3 linked regions of the Drosophila melanogaster genome follow. The gene in region 2 interacts genetically with the main gene of each other region. Each region holds a gene or a part of one and is shown on either strand. Other genes may lie near its edges.

Region 1 (6,411 bases), on a different chromosome or scaffold from region 2:
GCCTCGAAAAAGGTTGCTACTTGCGTACCCCCCTTTTTTCCACCATTTTCCCCGCCCATGGGAGAACTTGCTGCTGCGGTTGTCGTCTTGTTGTTGCAGTTGTTGCTGCTACTGCTGTTGGTGCTGTTGCTGCTGTTGTTGTTGTTGCTGTGCTTCTGCACAGAAGGCGACGGCAATTTTGTAGGCGCGCCAATGGGTTAACGTGATCTGAATTTGTTGCTCGCGAGCCAATTAATGTCGCTCCGAATTAAAAAGAAGATACTGATGCCAGATACAGATACGGATCGTAAAAGTCACTTCAAGTGGGTTAACCAGGAAACACCATTTTCTTTTTCTTAATAAGCTTGCCTTTTAAGTGATCAAAATTCGTATTGGCATTTAAGAATGAATGAAATCTTTTCATTTTATATAAAAATATCGAAAGTTTTAGTTTTGGAATATATTGGGGTAACACAATTTTTAAAAACAAAAATGTTAAGGGATAGACGCATTTTTGATTACAGTATATAGTTTTTTTAAATTAATTTTATTGTCAACTTTACTTTAAAATAAATTACCAAATTTTTGCAATATTTATTGATATAATATTACAAAAATAAAAAATATAATATTATTAATAATTTGGGAAATTTTAAGACATATTTTTCGGTTGAAAGTATTAAAGTCATTCAAGACAAATGTGAAATTTCAGAAAAATACACTCGTAACCCCATGTTAGTGACCTTATTACAGTGGTTGGTTAAACATTTATTCTGGCACTATCAATCCATTAATTTTCATGAAAACTTTTCCCCATGGAAAGGAAAACCGCCCAAATAAATGACTATCGAGAAACTAATCGTTAATGTCGGAGCAATGGAAAAGGATAAAGCTGCTGCTCGGCGATGGTGACTTCATTTAAATGTTGTAAGAATTTGTTTACTGCGTGTGCGACACACAGCTCAGGTGGGGGCGGTAGATGTGCGGTGGGTGTGGCAGATGCAGTGGCAGGGGCAGGAGCAGGGATAACCACCGATTGCCAGGAACGACAAAGTAGCTTTCAAATGTGCTCAGCACTCAGATACATATGTAGCACATAGACGCCATCCCGCTCTAGCAGCTGCCGTCACTCCTCTCGAGTGGCGTTTCAATTAATTAGAAAAAGTTAAAGAAACGCCACGGCAAAAACGAGAAGCGAAGTACGAAAATACAAAAAACAAAAAACAAAAAACAAATACCTACATAATAAAATGTAAGAGCGTATGTTGTAGCAGCAAAAGCAGCGACGGCAGCTGCGGTGGCGATTTTTGTTCTTCTCGTTTTTTCTTCTGATTTTTTTTTTTTCTTTTTTTGTTGGAGCAGCGCGAAAGATGCCACCAATCCAGCCAAAGAGCCAAAGCGGTCAAGAGGGGCGGTGCAGGGGGTTGGTTGCCAAAGGGATGGGGTAATGGGGGAGGAGGGGGTTTCTGGAGGGGAACGGCCGTAGCAGCGACTGCGGCAGAGGCGGATGATAAAACATTACCCATCGCGTTTGGCCCAACCTCTTCACGAGTCTCGTCGTTCATGTTCATCAGGCTTTTCTTTTTTCATCAACGGCGAAAAGCGAGAAGCGAGCGTAAACACTTTGCTTTCATACGTCGCGACATTCGTCTTGTTGTTGTTGTTGTTGTTGCGTTGTTTATGGCAACAACTACACGTAGCAACACCCACGGCAGCAGCAGCAGCAGCAACAGCAACTGCGGCAGCAGCAGCAAGTAGCAGCGTTGCAACAGCAACAGCAGCAGCAACAACAGCAGCAACATCATCGCCGACAACAACAGCAACAACATCGCCTACAAATACATACATCGGCATTTACAACAACACGCAATAACAGCCATTTTTCTAGTTGTTAAGTTAATTTTTTCATGTTCTGCCGCTCTCGGTGTTGCTGCTGCTGCTGCTGCTTCTTGTCGCCGCTGCTGCTGCTGCTGCTGCTATGCCATCTCGCTCGCACGCCAGCAAGACGACAGCCAACGCGAGCAAGTTGCGATACTACCGCTGTCGCTGCCGCTTGGTTGCGATTCGTGGCCAACGGCGCAGCGGCTATAGCCATCCCGCTCTCGCCCGGCCGCAGCTGGCAGATACTTTATTTATGGTCACACAGGCGGTAGATACTTTTTTTGTTGCCCCCACCCCTCCACCTAACCAACTGGTTTGCTGCGTCTCGCTCGCACTTGCAGCGAGATTGGTGGCTACGTTTCGGTAGGGGGTTGAGGGGTATCTACCGTAGCATACCGATTCCGATGCCGATTCCAATCCCAATCCCCTGAGTGCCACACACAGCCGGAGCGCCAGCCCACTTATAATGATAATCATTATTGCCGTTGTTGCCGTTCGTGTTGTCGTCGTGCCGCCTCGTTTGCTACTTTTTCCAGCGCACACAGATACTTTTCGCACGCACACCAGCGCACAGATACTTGGCCGCTCTCAAAAAGAGCAAAGAGAGCGCACGCACACCAGCGAAGGTGCGAGTAAAAATTAAGGGGAGAAACCCGTTTGTGCGCTCTCTCGCTCACACATACAAACGCGGCGCGGGCTATGTATCGATGTGGTGGTGCGTGGGCCTGTTCTTGTTGTTGCGCTGCGCTGTTTTTCGATTGTCGGTTGTCGTGTAATTCCCATTTGTCGTACACTTTGTAGTTGCTCAAGAAACTCATGTTAGTCTACTTTTGACTGTTACGCAGATTGTTCGTATCGTTCGTGTCCGCCGCAGTGCCAGTGCCGCAGTGTGAATAATAGTGCTCTCTGCCCGCCGCTCGCCGTCGTTCTGCGAGCTGGATTCAAATTCAGTACCCAGATTCAGAAACAGAATCAGATTCACACCCAGATACTACTATTTGCTGCCGCCGCCTCTGGTTCATTCGTGCTTCGTTTTCGCATCCTCCGGATAGAGCTGCTCCTCCCGAATACCGATTCTACCAATTCTACAAATTTAAACGACTCACATAAACGATTCCCGTCGAGCCGCCCGTCGGATTTTACGGATTTACGGTGCCCAGTAGCGCCTGTGTTGGCCAGCTAACTCGAGTTGGCCAGCTCCTTGCAGCCGTCGGCAAGTGCAACGCAGTGCAACGAAACGAATAACAAAAAAAAATAAACACAGCCCAAAGAAAGTAAACACTGAAATAGCTCGCAAGCCGGATCCAAAATCAACATAAAAACTAGTTCGGATCAATCACAAGATCACAGATCGCACAATCACAATCACTTCACTCGGATTATAAATCTATCTAAATACACATACGTCGGTTCAGTGCGCGAGTCCATCGGTGCATCGTAACTCTAAGATTTGCTTTATAGTTTTAGTTAAAAGCAAAAATTAATATTAAATGACAGTGCACAGTAATGAAACCGGTATCTGTTTAGTAATGGTGCGTATATCAATTTGTTTTTTTTCCCCCATTTTTTATTACTTGTAAGATGGTTCAGTTAATCGCTGCATTTTAGCTTGTCTGGCATTTGGATAGTGGCAATTAGATTGAAAACCCGTTCAGCTACGAGGCAAATCAGTGCAACACATGTAGATAAAAGCAGAAACAGTGGGATTACTCTGGGTTCGAATACCTTAGCATTTTGATTTGGCAAACGGAAGACATGGATTTAAAAATAAAACAGATTGAAAATGTCAGGACCACAAGTGTGCTACATTGGGCGAACAACACGCGAAAAACCGTCTGCCAATTCGGAAAATCTCTCTTATGCATCAATGTCTCTTTGGTTGTTAACCAAGCTGGCAAGGTCACCGCACATCGTGCTCAGTCACACTTGAGTGTCCAATAGGATTTTAGCCATAATAATCCCTCAGTGGTAACACGATCCCCAGTTAATATGGTATCCCTGTTCCAAAAATTTAATCGCTTGCACTCGACACTCGAGCATATTCATATATTTTCATATATGTATGTAAAAGCAACTTGTGGCGCAAAGTCGAAAGCTGAAACGGAATATCGGAAATATTAAATGCTCTTTAAACAAACATGAATGGCTGTCACTCTACCCTCGCCATCATAATGGCTACCCGAAAATAATTTACTTTAGCCGCAAAACGACCACTTCGAGTTGAGATATTTGTTGTGTTATAGTTATAGCCTGTAGCCATAGATAGTCGATAATCATCGGCGGTTGATTCAAAGAGCCGCATTGATAAGAAATCGTACGAGTGTATTGTGGATCCATCCAGCCATCCGGCAAACACCGGGAATTAATTTTTAATCGCATAGGGCCACTTGAGTTGTCACTTGATGAAAGCACGAGACGCAACACCGAACCGAATCCCAACTGCAACAGCAACATCAGCGACAACATTGTGGCGGTATCAATCACGACCGATGATACAACATGCAGCACTGTGACCGCCGGCCTGCGATAAAAATCGTATCTTACGCCTCGGATCATTTGTAAAATGTTAAACGGGAAGAGCGGCTCCAAGCCCCGAAGCCCCGAAGCCCCGGAGCCCCTGGAGCCCCAAAGCCCACAGCCCCAAGCCTCAAGAAGTGGAGAAGTTAACCAAGGAGGCAGCGATAAACAAACCTGAAACTTGTTTTCCTTACCCCATGTCGCATGTGTGCGAATGTGTACGTTGCTCTTGTCCACTGAAGTTGTTGCAGTTGTTGCTCTTGCAGTTGTTTCAGTTGACTAAAAGTGTTGACAAAAGTGCGCGATAGGCTTATGTGCACACACAAACACACTATATACCATGCTATACCATACCATACCATACCATATAGAGGATCGATCCAGGCAGTCATTGGACAACTTACAATCAAATTGCTCTTAGGACGTTGTTGCAGCTTGTCGTTGTTGTTGCTGTTGCCGCTGTCGTCGTTGGCAGCAATCGGCTGTGTAATTTAAATCAATGTTGTCAATCGAAAACATGATTTGTTGGTAATGGCGGCCCCACTTTGAAGATCGCCGGATCGCAGGGGAAAGGGGTTTTCGGGAGTGGAGAGAGGAGAGAGCACAGTTTGTAGGGGGGGAAGAATCCATCGGTTGGGATCCCAGTTTTGTGGTTCTGAGGCTCTGCAGTTCTGAAGGGCCCGTGGACAGCCCACAACCCATCCCACTGAAGAGACGCTCTTATCGCACTGATAAGGGGCTACGTTTTTAATTAAGTTTTAGTGCCAGCTGGTAGCGCGGTACAGTAGACCGTCTATTGGGGCTTTTTATCCAGCGCAAGAAGCAGCGCCTTAATGGCCGCCATAAACTCGAGAAACGAATTGGAAAAGATCAAAGTCGGATAATCAATTTACTGAAATTAACTTCAAAGATGAAGAACATTTTTCTAAAAAAGTTTCGTTTTAGAAAGAGGCCTTAAAACATTTTATTATAAGCTATCAAGGGATTAGTAGTGCAGTACTTAAATTTATAAATTTTATTTATTATTTTATTTCAAATTTGTTTACTTATTGTACAACATATTGTTCATAATCAACTTGGACAGCTATTTTTAGTACCAAACGCTTGTTAGCTCCGTTAAGCAAATGCACTCAACGTTGTTGTCTTCCACTTAACTTGCAGAATGCCGTTTCAACTCACCTTGCCACCTCGTCGCCCAACACGCCTCCAACCAACGCTCCGCAGAGTCCGCCCTCGACGCTGCCCACGCTCGCCTGTCCCGCCGCCCAGCCGCTGAGTGCACCGGGAATCGCCGGGCCAGGACACAGTGGCATGGTGACCTCGACGGTGCCGCCGGGCGCTCGCTCCACCTCGCCGTGCGGTCCGTCCGCCGGCCTGCCCGCCCTCTCGCTGGTGGGCGCACCGCCACCGGGACCGCACTCCTCCGCCCCCGGTGGAGCACCGGCGCCCGGAGCGGGCAACCCGCCCAACCGCTGCTGTGATACGGGTCGCACCATCTACACGGATCCGGTGAGCGGCCAGACGATCTGCTCCTGCCAGTACGACATGCTCAACTACCAGCGACTAGCCGCCGCCGGCGGAGTCCCGCTCGGCGTCTATCCGGAGGGCATGTCCGCCTACCTCTCCGGGATTGCGGCGGATCAGCCGCCGTTCTACGCCAATCCGGTAAGTGAACTCGGTCGTGAATAAGCTTCGGTATTTTTTGGAGAGACATGGGTCCTACACTGAGCCAAAATCAGAAACAGTCTGAGCATCTTCTGTGCAAAAACTGTGTGGAAGATTTCTTATGCTTATTTCATGAAGTTTTATAACTTCGTTTCGAAGATCCTAAATGTGTTTTTTTTTTTGCCGTGCATCGTAAAGCCTGTTCATAAGTCATATAATCCGAACAATGGCGCAATAAATTTGTGAATTTGTCGACTCGAGGAGCGGGAGACCACCATCGAAGTTGGAGTTAAAGTTGATGTTGAAGTTGAAGCTAAAGTCGCGTCGTCATTTGATCGTGTACCATGGGTGTACCGTGTACCGAGCCCC
Region 2 (6,354 bases):
CTAGTCTTGAAATTTTCAAACGAAAAAACTCACAGCATAGCGAGCCAAAAAGTAGGGACACCAGTTGCGCGACCGACCGTATTCCTTAAGATCATCGATGCTGTAGACGCCGACCGGCAATGTGGACTCCTTGCCTTCCAGGCTAAATCCCTCAAAGTACTGGCCTACAAGTTCGCAGTTGAAATAATGGTTACATATGGATAACAATAGTCTTACAAATGGGCGTCTCGGTGTCCATCTCGTGCCGTTCGCGAATGTAGCTGGCAGTGAGTCCGTAACATTTACCGTCCACGGCCTTGCCCTCGCGCTCCTTACTGACCTCCGGATGGATGCACATGTTCTTCCTAGAGCTGAGCACCAGACCGGTGAAGGGTGGTGGATTGGGGCAGTGGCGCTCGTAGTAAACCATCAGGTTCTGCAGCTCGGCGATCACTTTCTCGATCTCCGGAACAGTACGCGAGCAGTAGATGAGCTTGCGCACCGTTTCCGGATGCTCCACCATGTAGGCAACGATCAGGGAGAGCAGCGTGGCCGTCTTGCCCGTTCCCGAGGGCATCTCCAACAGGCAGTGGCCCTTGGCGTCCAGGCTACGCTTAAGTTCCAGCATGTAGGCATATTGTTCCGGGTAGATGTACTCGTACGGAAAGTACACCAACAGGCCGTCCACGCTGAGCCTGTGGACTGGGTTGTTAAAGGAGTACTTTCATTTATCCCGTTCTGCCACTTACTTCATTATTCGCCTATTCCGGGATAATTCACAATTCCCTGTGCCGGCAAACTATCGATGGTACTATCGAGGTATAGAATTTGTACCATCGTTATCGATGGGGCTGTGAAAAATTTGCATGGATTGAGTACAAGTTTTGATATTTTTTTGGTCAACTTCTTTTTATTTTGTAACTCTGTGAACAGCGTAAAAATATTTGATGTTAGAGCAGAAATCTTATTTTTAACTGTTTGAAAATTAATAATAACTATTTAATATCTATGCATTTTAAAACTAAAAACATCAATTTCAGTAAGCAATATCTTATAAGTTTCGTTGAACAGTGTAGTAATATTTTTAGTATTTTTTTCTAGAGCATTGTGGTTTTTTAAACCCTTCAGCGAGGGTTACATTAATATTAAATACTAAAATTTAGACCAAAGTTTAGTTGCTTCAGTTTATTTATTTATCTAAATCCCACATATTTTCATAGCATGGACGACTTAAATCCGCTGGCGGGCACGGCTCACCTCCTGGAAGAGGTTGACAGTGAGTAAATCCGAATGAAAGGAAGGCCAGTCGTTGAAAACCGGCGCATTGCAGAGAAACTGATGGTACTTTTGAGAGACGGACGGACTCTGATTGGATACCTGCGGTCCGTGGACCAGTTCGCCAACCTGGTGCTGCAACGCACCATCGAGCGGATACATGTGGGCAACGAATACGGCGACATTCCTCGCGGAGTCTTCATCATTCGCGGGGAGAATGTGGTGCTACTGGGCGAAATAGTAAGCTTTACTCGATACTTTTTCAATATGACTGATTAACACCCTTTAAATATGCGTAAAAGGACCGTGAAAAGGAGCAGAAACTGCCACTCAAAGAGATATCCGTCGATGAAATCCTGGACGCCCAGCGTAGGGAACAGGAGCAGCGGCAGGAGAAACACCGCCTAGTATCCAAGGCACTAAAGGAACGAGGCCTGGCCGTAGATGCCAACATAATCAACGAGGACTTCTGCTAAGACTCCATTTTTTCCTAAGCACAAAGTTAGATTAAGCTCAAAAGATTTTCGTCTCTTTGTATATTTGTACTGCATTAAAAAACTATGTTAAAACCTATGTACATATTGCATGCAACCTGCTTAGCCTGATCCGCCCGCACCCGACCCCTTTCCGCACTCCTCGAGCAGTATGTACTTCTCTAGAATCTGGTACATCTCCACCTTGGCCTTGATCTTGTGCACGCGCGACAGTTGGCGCAAATACGCGGCAATCGACTTGCAAAAGAAGTCGTCCTCTGTTTCGCAAGTCTTTTGGGTGATGACGGCCGTGGGATTGGGTAATTCTGGGGCGGAATGCTCTCGCTCCTGATTCGCATTGGGCGGCATACAGACCAAGTAGTTCAGATCCGCGTGGTTAGACTCAATAGGCTCAGGTGCGGACGTCGCATTCGGAGCAGCGATTTCCGGATGAATTGTGACCACCTTGACCTTTTGCTCGCACTCCGCATCCCCCAGGAACTCATCGAAGCTCTCCTGTTCGGGCTCCTGCCCATCGTCCGCCTCCACGACCACCGAATACGTCTCCGATTGTGTGGTATGAGACTCCAGCTTAGCGTCGTAGTCGTGTTGCTCCTCGCCCTCATCGTAGGCGTGCGAACCTTGCTCCTCGATCAAGGTCTCTGTGTCAATAGGCAGGCGGGTACGACGCCGTCGCTGTAAATCAACCTTCATCCACCCGGTTGGCTTTTGTTCCCGATCCCGTTCGCGTCCTCTGCGCTCGCGTCTCTTGCGCACAAAGTCCCGCAGGAAGTCCATCTTCCGAAAGAAGTCATTGTGACCAAACTCGCCGGACGGATGCAGGCGCTTCTGCTTAAGCTCCCGCGAATAGCGATCCCGCAGACACGTCCACCGTCGCCGAGCGTCTGAGATGGAGATGTTTAGCAAATCCGCCACTTTTGCCCAGTCCTCCTCTTTGCGCTGCGACAGCCGAAAGGAGGGCAGCTGGGGATCGTACAGCGACGGCGTCTCGCGGATGGTTTGTATTAGGAGGATATCCGAATCGTCCAGAGGACGGTGGTTTGAGCTCATTTTAATTTGTTTAATATATGTTTAATATTGACCAGTGTTGCCAGATGTATTGTCATCGACACAATGCTAAAAAGATCGACACCGCCGATAGCGATTATTTTTAAAAGGTAGTACATTTAAGAAGATTTGATTTCATTTAAATTTATTTAAGGTCATTTTTATTTTGTTGTCATTATTTTTTTATATGAAACTTTTGGATTCCATAATGAAAATTCTATTTCGTTTTATTTTTTATAAATATTTGGAAAATTTTTTAATACCGAAACGTTATGCACCACATACGGTCACACTGCCATTAACAGCACAATTTCCAGAAATGCCTTGAAAATGTCAACTTTACAGGTCTGGCAACGCTTCAGGCTTTAGGGCAGCCATTTTTTTCACGCTTTGTAAAAAGTTTTTTTAAAAGCCGTGGAAACCGCAGAAAGGTCGAGAAAATTGTTTTTCGCCAGTTTTAAACGATTGTGTTGACCAACCAAAGTATGCAAAACTAAATATTGTGTGTGCGTGCCGTGAGTGAACCAAGCAATTGAACATGGAAACCGTGGTTGCCTTCAACAATGAGGTAAGCTATAGATGCATTAGAAACGAGGTTCGTTATGGAGCAGCCGGCGTGGTTGCACAATGTCCGCTTGAAGTCGGTATTCGGATTGTCCAATGTGCGGGAGGTATACAGATCCTGCTGGAGGCGCAGGCAGAGCACCGAACAGCACCGCTCAGGGTTGCTTTTTGGCCAGCACCCGATAACGATAACTCCATGTCCCAGATATCCGTAAACTATAGCCGTACTGTAACATCTATATTTCTCCTTAGCTCTCCGGACTCTATGACAGCCGACCGCCCATTTCCAAAGCGAAGATGGCCGCCATCACCAAGTCGGCGATGCGGGCCATCAAGCTGTATAAGCACGTCGTCCAGAGTGTGGAGAAGTTCATCTTGAAGTGCAAGCCGGAGTACAAAGTACCCGGGCTGTATGTAATCGACTCGATAGTGCGCCAGTCGCGCCACCAGTACGGTATGGACAAGGATCTGTTCGCGCCCCGATTCCAGCGTAATCTCACGGAGACCTTTGCCAACTTGTTCCGGTGCGCTCCGGAGGACAAGAGTCGCATCATCCGGGTACTGAACCTGTGGCAGAAAAACAACGTCTTCAAGTCCGAGGTCATTCAGCCGATCTTCGACCTGGCCGACCCAAACCACCCAATCTACCACCAGATGCCTCCGGTGGGTGGCAGTGGAGGACAGGGCGGCGGCGTGGGTCCAGGACCCAGCAGCAGCGGTGCTCTTAGCCTGGCGGACATATCGAGCGGTCCGAACGGTCTAAACAGCTCCGGAATGGAGATAAGCATGAACAGCTCCGGGGGCGACGATAAGATGGGCGGTGCCATGCCCGACTTGTCGGTAAGTGATGCTTTCGGTTGAGGCTTCTACAGGTGTCTAGTATTGGATAATGGCTTAACTAACATCGTCTACAATTCTGCTGCATTTACATTTCTCTGTCTCTCATGTCTTGCCCACTAACCGCCCATTTTGCCCTTCGCCCAATCGCTAGCTGGGCCATGAGAAGTTCGGCGGTGGCAGCAGCAGCTCCAAGCGTCACTACTCGGAGCAACACTATTCCAAACGACAGTCGGTGGTCTCGTGCTCGTCGAAGACCAGCAAGTCGCATCATCACAAACGGGAATATGTCAAGAGCTCGCACGACATTGACTACCAGGTGCGGGAGATCATCGAGGAAGAAGATGAAGGCCTGCAGATGCTGATGGCAGATGATCACCACTGTATGGGCGACGACTCACCGCCCACTTCTTCAAACCTGTTAGACGTATGGCGAACCCCATTAACACATCTCTTCATTTAGATAGTTTTGTTTATCTTAAGTTTCTATTTGTTGCTTTTGTTGCTCACATTAGATCGATCCCATTTTGAATAACCTTTTAAATAACTCTTTCAGGAGAAGAAGATCAAGCAGCTGCTAAACAATCCGAATGTGCTGCGGCAGCTCCATACGCTGCAGAACTTCCAAAATTTGAAGCCGCAGGAGGAGAACCAGAAGCATCGCTATCAGGACGAGGCACTGCAGCAGCATTTCCAGAACGTAATGAAGGTACATCTTATGATTTCATGACGATGTACATATTTTCATTATGATTTGCTTTCAGGGAAATGCTGGTATGCCGCCGGGCATGGGCATGGGCATGAACATGAACGACAGCATGGACCTTAACAAGGATGTCGAGTTCATATCGGAGCAACAGACCATAGAGGTATACCCTTCTACTTTTCCAATCTATCTTAGTTCCTGGGGTCCGACTTGTGTATGCTTTTCACCAAGACTTCGCCATTAATTTTGGTCTAAAGTATAAACATATTAGATGTAAAACGGGTGATACTATTTGCCTTGTGCTGACGTGCAGTTAATCCTGGAAATGTGTTCAATATGTTGTTATAGCTGATGGGATATTAGCGTGTTCGAATCCAAATTGATTCAACTAGTTGTAACGGGGTGGTCTTGCACTATTTAATCAATAACTTTAATACTATATATCTTGAATATGCAAACAATTCAATTCCCAATCCATTTAAAATTAAATTTTATTTTGTTGTAAAAAAAATGTTTAAAATCAAAAGATGATGCTTTTGGGCAAACCCTAAATCAGTTTCATAAGTCGATCTATATGTCCCCAACATATATTTGAACTATAAAACAATTGCCAATATTTGAATAAGTCGAACCAATAGTAAAATATTTAAAAAATATGCAAATGAAGCCAAAGGTAAGGTTTTAAAATCCACATAATATCCGGCGGAACAACTCGTTACCCGATGCTAGAACAACGTTTGGTAAGTTCCTAATATGTAAATAAAAATGTTGCTCGAAAACGCAAATTGCCAATTAGTCCGAAATAACTAGATGAATGAAAGTCGAAAGCGAAACAGAACCACACGTCAACACACGCCAAAGAATGCAGTTTATTGAGTCGATAATAACGTATTCGCCCTGTGGCCAGCCACTAATCCCGAATCCTCTCTATCCCACTGAACTTTTTTTTTTTATTCTTAACAAAATTTTTATCACGTATCACTCTCAAATTTCTTGCAAACACTCCCATCTCCGATAGGTGATCAATCTGGATGGTGGCGATTCCCGCAGCCCGACGCCCGACCGTGATCGCTACAAGCGCAGTCGCCGGAACAGTCGCAGCCGGACGAGATCTCCGCGAGGACGTGGCGCCGGAGGAGGCACGGGCAACGATCGACGTCGGCGTGGCACTCGTTCCCGATCGCGCAGCCGATCACCACGGTCCAGCCGGCGACGCGGATCAAGGGACCGGGATCGCATGGATCGTAGCAATCGAGACAAGGAACGCGATCGGGAACACGAGCGTGAGCGGCGCAAGAAGGGATTGCCCGACATCAAAAAGGAGCATCTCAGTGGTAACTATGACGGGAATGATAAATGGATCTTAAAGGCCACAAGATGGTGCTTCTTAAGATCCATTTGCATTGTGTGCTTTCCTGTTTTTCCTTCTTTTTTTTTTTTGTTTTTGTTTTT
Region 3 (6,411 bases), on a different chromosome or scaffold from region 2:
GTTGAAACAGAAAATTAGCTCCTCGACGCCGTAGATTTGCAGGGTTTCGGCGAAGAAGGCGAACGCTTTATTTTGCCGCTCCTCAATGGCCAGTCGATCCTCGGCTGTTAGTTCCATTGGATTTGATATATCCTGTCCCTTTGCCACATCCTTGGAGTTCTCCGAACGATCCGACATGCTCCGTTTCTCTAGAAACAAATGCTTTTTGCTAATGCTCTTTGCGCATAGAATGCTGTTGTTCGCTGTAATGTTTGTGATGTTTGTGATGTTCTTCCGGCATTCGTTCATGGTGCTCAGTGGGCGTAATGTTTGTGGGAGGCGTGGCCGTGCCCTGGCTAGCAAAAACGATGACGTCACACGCTGTTAAAGTCAAAAGAGCAACTATTAGCACTCAATAAATAAAACATAAAAAAAACTTTCGCCGAAAAATATCTTTTTTTTGCGTGTGTGTGTGTGTGTGTAAGTATTTACTTTATGTAATTTTCTAGGCCCATAAACAAACTTTAACTGTGCGATGAGCGTGGTAAATGCTTCGGCGGTTGACGTGCGAGTGAGTTGGCTTATTTGTGGCCAGCCAAAAATTACATCACTTTCGTATCGGAAAAGTCAGCAAAAACAAAAAAAAAGTGATATAAAGCCAAAACCTCAGGCCCTCACACGCACACGCACACACACGCATGCAGGCCAAACACATGGCGCACGCACACACGCGCATAGCTCACCCAATAGCTCATGTGTTTCGTTGCTGCATCGACTGTTTACTGGCGCACATTTAACTGATGAGTTACGGCGACAGCAATGCAATTATTCCATTTTGTTAATTGTTATTCCGCGCCAGTGATTTTCCTTCCTTTTTTCGTCTTTTTAGTGCAACAACAAGCGAACGGCGACAACAACAACAACAAAGCCAGGAAGCTTTGCGTACTATCGGTGCATCAGCTGTGCGCTGAATCTATCGATTGCACTCGATTAAGGCGGTTGGCTAGCTAGAAATTCAAAAAAAAAGCTAGAAATTTATACATTAAATAATTTTGAAAGTTTCGTTTTGATTTTAATCCGCAATTTCGCATATCGCCAGCAAATGCGACATATATACGCAAATTTTGTTTCTGTTCCGTCTGAAGTAAAATAAAATGTTCGTAGTTTAAATGTTTTATTCGACAATAACAAATTCGTGTTTGTGTGTGTGCTTAACAACAACAATAAAAAGCGTAATTAAAGTACGCTCTACACATCTAATAAATGGGCACTGTTGGCGTTTTCTATCAACTGGGTGTGTTTTCTTCGATTCTTGTGGCTTTTTTTCTTCACGGAGAGAAAATATCACATAACTGGTGATTTCATCCTGTTCCACTGGGCGCTTTACAAATTTCGATGCAGTGCATATAAACTTCGATATAAATTTCATGTACGTTCACACTTAACTTAGACATAAATATTTAAAAACTAAGTTCATTGTCTAAAAGTTAGCAATATGATGGCCAGAATGAAATCTGAAAGTGGTGAAAATGTTGGTTTTGAAATAATGTTGCATTTGGTATGTAGAATATTTCCGCACAATCATTCAAAATATGCATCTCTTGTGTGTGGTAATTTTGATAGAGCCGTTTACAAATCGTAATTTTCATCGCTGAAACGTAAGCATCTTCGGTTTTTTTTCCGTGTACAAATTAGACATCCTTGTTATCCAGAATATCGTCGATGAGTCCGACGACCTTCTGTCGAAACTTTCGATTCTGCTTGCCGTTCATCTCCTTGATGTACGGATGCAGGCTGATCAGAAAGGAGTAGTCGGCATCCGGTTGTGAGCCACCTCCTCCTGGTCCGCCAGTGAAAACACTTAGAGCTGACGTAGCCGGCTGCGGCGGCGGTGGTGGTGATGTTGGTGTTGTTGTTGTTGTGGTTAACTTGTGATGACCGCTGCCATGTCCCTTGAACCACTGCGTCAGATCCGACCAGCCCAGGTGATTGCCCAGCGCGGCGGCGGGCACCGAGACCAGCGACTGCTGGCTCACCATCCGCTCCAGCTGCTGGTTCGCATTTGACGAATCGTGCTCCACTTTGATGGAATGCAGGCGGAGCGGCAAACAGGCGGTGGGTTGCTCCCGATCCTGTTCCTGATTACGACGATGCTCCTCCTCGGACACCTGAACGTCCAGCGGCATCTCACCATCGCTCACCTTGGCCTCCTCCTCCGCCGCCACCACCTCATCTTCCTGCTGAGCAGTGGCAGCTTGGCCGGGTTTGCGGAGCACCATGCCCGGCAGCTGCTTGTGGCAGGATCGCGACTTGGTGAACGGAACGAGAAACTGAAGATACTTCGATAGGTAGTATTTGCGCTTGCCGCGTCCCGTTTGTGTGCGTGCCAGCTTCAGGGATCGCAGGAAGCTGCTCCTTATGGTGCGCCATCGCTCGCGACAGTTGCGAACTGCAGGAGAAACAAAACACATCTTTTACAGTACAAATTTCTACGGTACAAATTGAAACTTGTTCACCAAAAGGTAACCACAGTACTGAGTTGATTTGCACATCAAACTCAATTCTTGGATTTATACTTGTTTGTAACATGGAATATTTTGTAGTTTAAATACTTTTATTTTGTATTTATTTTGAATTTATTATGGGAATTTAGTTGTACGAATAGTACTTGGTTTTTTTCCAGTGCACCTTGGCTGAGTGCAGCAACAGTAAACGAAAAGCGAAACGCAAAAGCAGCAACAAATTGCAGGCAAAAACTGCGCGACACAGTGACACACCTACACCAATGCAAAGCCAGGCAAATGGAAAACAACAACAAGTGCATTCGTTTCGCACACCAATTCGCGAAAGCTTGCATCATAGACACACACACGCACAGACACACACACACACACACAGGCGCGCGCGCACACGGACAGTGAAATGAGCACGCAATTGGCGGCGAAGAAGAAGAAGAGGAAGAAGCAGCAGCTTGAGGCGGAAAATCGCCGTTGCCTTTTGCCGATTTATTTTTTACCGCCTTTTTACCCGTGTCCTTGATATCGTTGGCAACCTGCTGCCACGCCCTCTGCACATCCTCCTTCTTGCTGTAGCCCGGATGCGTGTAGTTCCACAGGCACGGCTGATTCTCCACGAACTGCACGAACCGCACATTGAAAACGGGATCGTCCTTGCGCGCCATTGCGACCCAGCACATGCCTCTGTCTGTCTCGCTCGCTCGCACACGCACGCACGCCGCCAACTAGAACGGTGAATCGCACATGCAGTTATTCCAGGAGCGCTGCTCTGCAGACGGTGCAGATGGCGGGGGGCGCGAACGAAAAGAGGCAAAACAAAACAAAGGGGGCGACACAGAAAAAAAGGGGAGGGGGCGCGGCAATAGAATTGCAAGTGCAAGTGCAACTGCTCGCAGCAAACGCGCAACCAAAACTGCGCGCAAATTGCAAATTGCAAACTGCAAATAGCAAATAGCAACAAAAGCTGCAGCGCAAACACTTTATGCTGGCACAAAACAGCAGCAACAACAAGTGGCAATCGCTGAGTCTCACGAACAGCGAATACCCTACACCGCTGAAAGGCAGCAAGATCTACACTGAAACATAATTAGCAGGATATTGCAATGGAGCACATCTGAATAAATCGAATGTAAAGGTGTACAGAGCAGCATCTATATACACTAACCAGAAATAATATATTTATATTGATATTTATTCGCCGAATAATGAAATTTCCCAAAGATAATCAAAAGATCACACAATTTTTCATACTATTTACTAATCCTATAAACTCAAGGTGATCGTAATCGAAGTGTTTATTTCTCTTTAATTGTATTTTTTGCACATTTCAACGGTTACTAAAATTATATCGACAACTTTGCGACTATTTCGATATACCCCGATGACTCCGCGATTACCGCATATCGAAAAACTCAACGGCGAACAACAGCTGCAATAAAATTGTATAAGCTAAGCAATTCAAATGCCGCACTTGCAACGCTTGTGTGTGTGCAGGCGCTTCTGTGTGTGTGCGTGTGTGATTAAAGCTTTGGCGATGACGTCACACGCTGCATTTGTTGCATGCGATGCTAAAGTGATGAAGACAAAAGCAATCAAAGACAAAACGCAAATTAGGCTAAAATGTTTGAGCTTGTAGAAATTAAGCTGAATGGTGTACGTGCAGCTAAATTCCAAGATCGTTTAATGCATGATCATATAATATAGTGTTTATTTAATTAAATTTACTAAAAACTGGGCGGAAATGATTAATTTTCCTCAGTTTTAGAAAAAAGTAGATAAATTCGCTAAGCAATAGGCCATTTAAGCCATGTTTCGAAATAAAATCAAATTTAACCTGATGTTAATTAATTAACTAATTAAATATTTGACTGTTGTCATTGCACCTAATTTTTTGACTATTTACATTTTTAAATATTTTTTAGCTTGAAAATCGGTGCTTTGTACAAAACGAAGTCGATAGCTTCTAGCCAAGTTAAGTAATCGAAACAATTATCGCTACCATTTGCGCATCACTAACCAGCCAGTGCATATGTAACAACTATTTTTTGTATTTCTTGGGAAATCTGTTAGTTTTTAGCCAAAAAACATGGCAACAAGCGCCAAACTGATGCTAGGCAGCGGCCTCTGCCAAAAGCTAAGCCAGGTGAGCAGATAAACCAAAGGATTCCAGTAAAAAATCACCTAAAATCTGTTTTTATTTCACGCAGCTTACCAGGCAAATACACATGCAACCGGCACTTATGTCCAGTTTTCGTTCATCCCGCGAAGTTCAGGAGCTGGACAAGTATCCTGAAGTGGAGGTGGTGGCCAATCCGCCCGAGTGGCGTTTTGTGGAGCGCTTGCTACCAGCGAAGACAGTACCACAGCCGGTGGAGAAGCCAAAATATCCATCCGGCTGGCAGCCACAAAAGGAGGATGGCTCAGAACTGGGTTACCATGTGGCCAGGACGAAGAATCACATGGTGCCCGTGTATCTGCACACCAGGTTCCGTGGCCAGCGCCGGATCACGGTGGTGCGACGCGTCCAAGGAGACATTTGGACGCTGGAAAAGGATCTGCGTGCGGTGGTGGAGCAGTCGCGAAACGGCAAGGTCTGCGCCACGAGAATCAATGAGCTGAGCGGTCAGATACACTTCCATGGTGACCACGTGGACGTCCTGCGTGACTATCTCAAGGAGAAGGGCTTCTGAAGGTCCACAAATGAACCGTCTGTGCCGCAATAAAAGCTTTTCTGTTGATTTAAATCATGTGGGATTTGTGTTCTTCTGTCTCGCCTCACCTAAGGCGGCTTACCCACATTGTGACCTCCTACCCATAGTATCCAAGTCTGGATAACAAAACTGCTGGCCTTCCGGAGATTGAATCACTCGCAGGCAATCGAATTAAATTTATGTTGAACGCATGCCCACTTGGCTGCAGTTCGCTTTTATTTGCACTTATCTTTTAGCATAAATTACATACATCGTCTGTATGGGGGAGGGGAGAGACACACACACACACACACACACACAATATTCTGAGAGTGGGACTCGTACAAACTACGTACGTACTAAAATCTACGGGAAAAGGAGGTGAGGATGGGTGGCGGAGCTTAGCCATTTTGATGAACGCATTTGAAGTCTGGTTCGGGGGCTCTGCTACGGCTACTACTGATACATAAACGTCTACGGCTGCTGCTTCCTCGGGCGCGGCCGTCAGGTACGCGTCATGTGGGCGTAGGCGGCAGCTGCCACGCCCCAACGCTATCCGCTAGCTCCTGCCATTGCTGGCAAACCGGACAGGCTAACGCTTACGCCGGAAGTGGGCGTAACTGTGCCAGCAGCGGTGGCCGACGAGGAGGATCGCTTGAGGGCCTTGCGTATAATCGTCCAGTCCTCCATGATATCCTCCTCGCGCAGCATGTACACGACATAGGGACCCGTGACGGTGACGGCCTTCTTGCGACCCGGTCCGCGCACCTTGCTCTGCCGCTTGTCGGTGCCCCAGTCGGCCCACGAGATGTCCACGTTGTGGCGATCCTCCTCCAGGCGACGGATGCGCTCCATGAACTCCTCGCGCAGATTGTCCAATGCCATGTGTTTCTCGCTCTGCAACGGAAAAGTTGTGAGTTGCAAGAGGATACATTAACAACTACTTCTACGCTTAAGTTAAGCCATCATTTGTCTTAAATCGTTAATATATGGCCTATAAGTGAGTGACATTTTGTGTTGTAATTAGCTTTGGCAGTGTCGCCCCCAGTGCCTTATCAACACGAAAGCCAATCTAATTGCGACGATATGGTGGCCAATTAGCTCTTCTCATTTTTGGCGCCAAAAATCGAGATTGGTTATGTACCTCAAAGTGCTGGACGGCAGCTTGTTCCTCGGACTGGTATTTGTGCTCGATATTCTGCAGTCGGTACTTGCGCAGGACGTCC

Evidence for each region.
Region 1: of hng1 (region 2) and mirr, changing one enhances a phenotype caused by changing the other (phenotypic enhancement), as found in Drosophila melanogaster (one study listed by BioGRID).
Region 3: of hng1 (region 2) and CG4404, changing one enhances a phenotype caused by changing the other (phenotypic enhancement), as found in Drosophila melanogaster (one study listed by BioGRID).

Annotation. Positions count from the first base shown.
Region 1 is NT_037436.4:12,690,962-12,697,372, forward strand, and holds the start of mirr (mirror), read left to right. Parts: upstream 1-2,677; 5' UTR 2,678-3,350; coding exon 3,351-3,392; intron 3,393-5,538; coding exon 5,539-6,042; intron 6,043-6,411.
Region 2 is NT_033778.4:21,165,441-21,171,794, reverse strand, and holds hng1 (hinge1), read right to left. Parts: upstream 2,866-6,354; 5' UTR 2,799-2,865; coding exon 1,851-2,798; 3' UTR 1,785-1,850; downstream 1-1,784. Other genes in the region: Xpd (xeroderma pigmentosum D), read right to left, coding at 34-164, 217-674, 729-733; LSm1 (uncharacterized protein), read left to right, coding at 1,201-1,255, 1,310-1,494, 1,557-1,730; Isha (insulator su(Hw) mRNA adaptor), read left to right, coding at 3,334-3,363, 3,612-4,199, 4,351-4,623, 4,753-4,905, 4,961-5,065, 5,921-6,236.
Region 3 is NC_004354.4:12,902,607-12,909,017, forward strand, and holds CG4404 (uncharacterized protein), read right to left. Parts: upstream 3,413-6,411; 5' UTR 3,176-3,412; coding exon 3,007-3,175; intron 2,429-3,006; coding exon 1,671-2,428; 3' UTR 1,139-1,670; downstream 1-1,138. Other genes in the region: Flad1 (flavin adenine dinucleotide synthetase 1), read right to left, coding at 1-360, 723-734; mRpL49 (mitochondrial ribosomal protein L49), read left to right, coding at 4,582-4,638, 4,703-5,185; BRMS1 transcriptional repressor, read right to left, coding at 5,738-6,082, 6,330-6,411.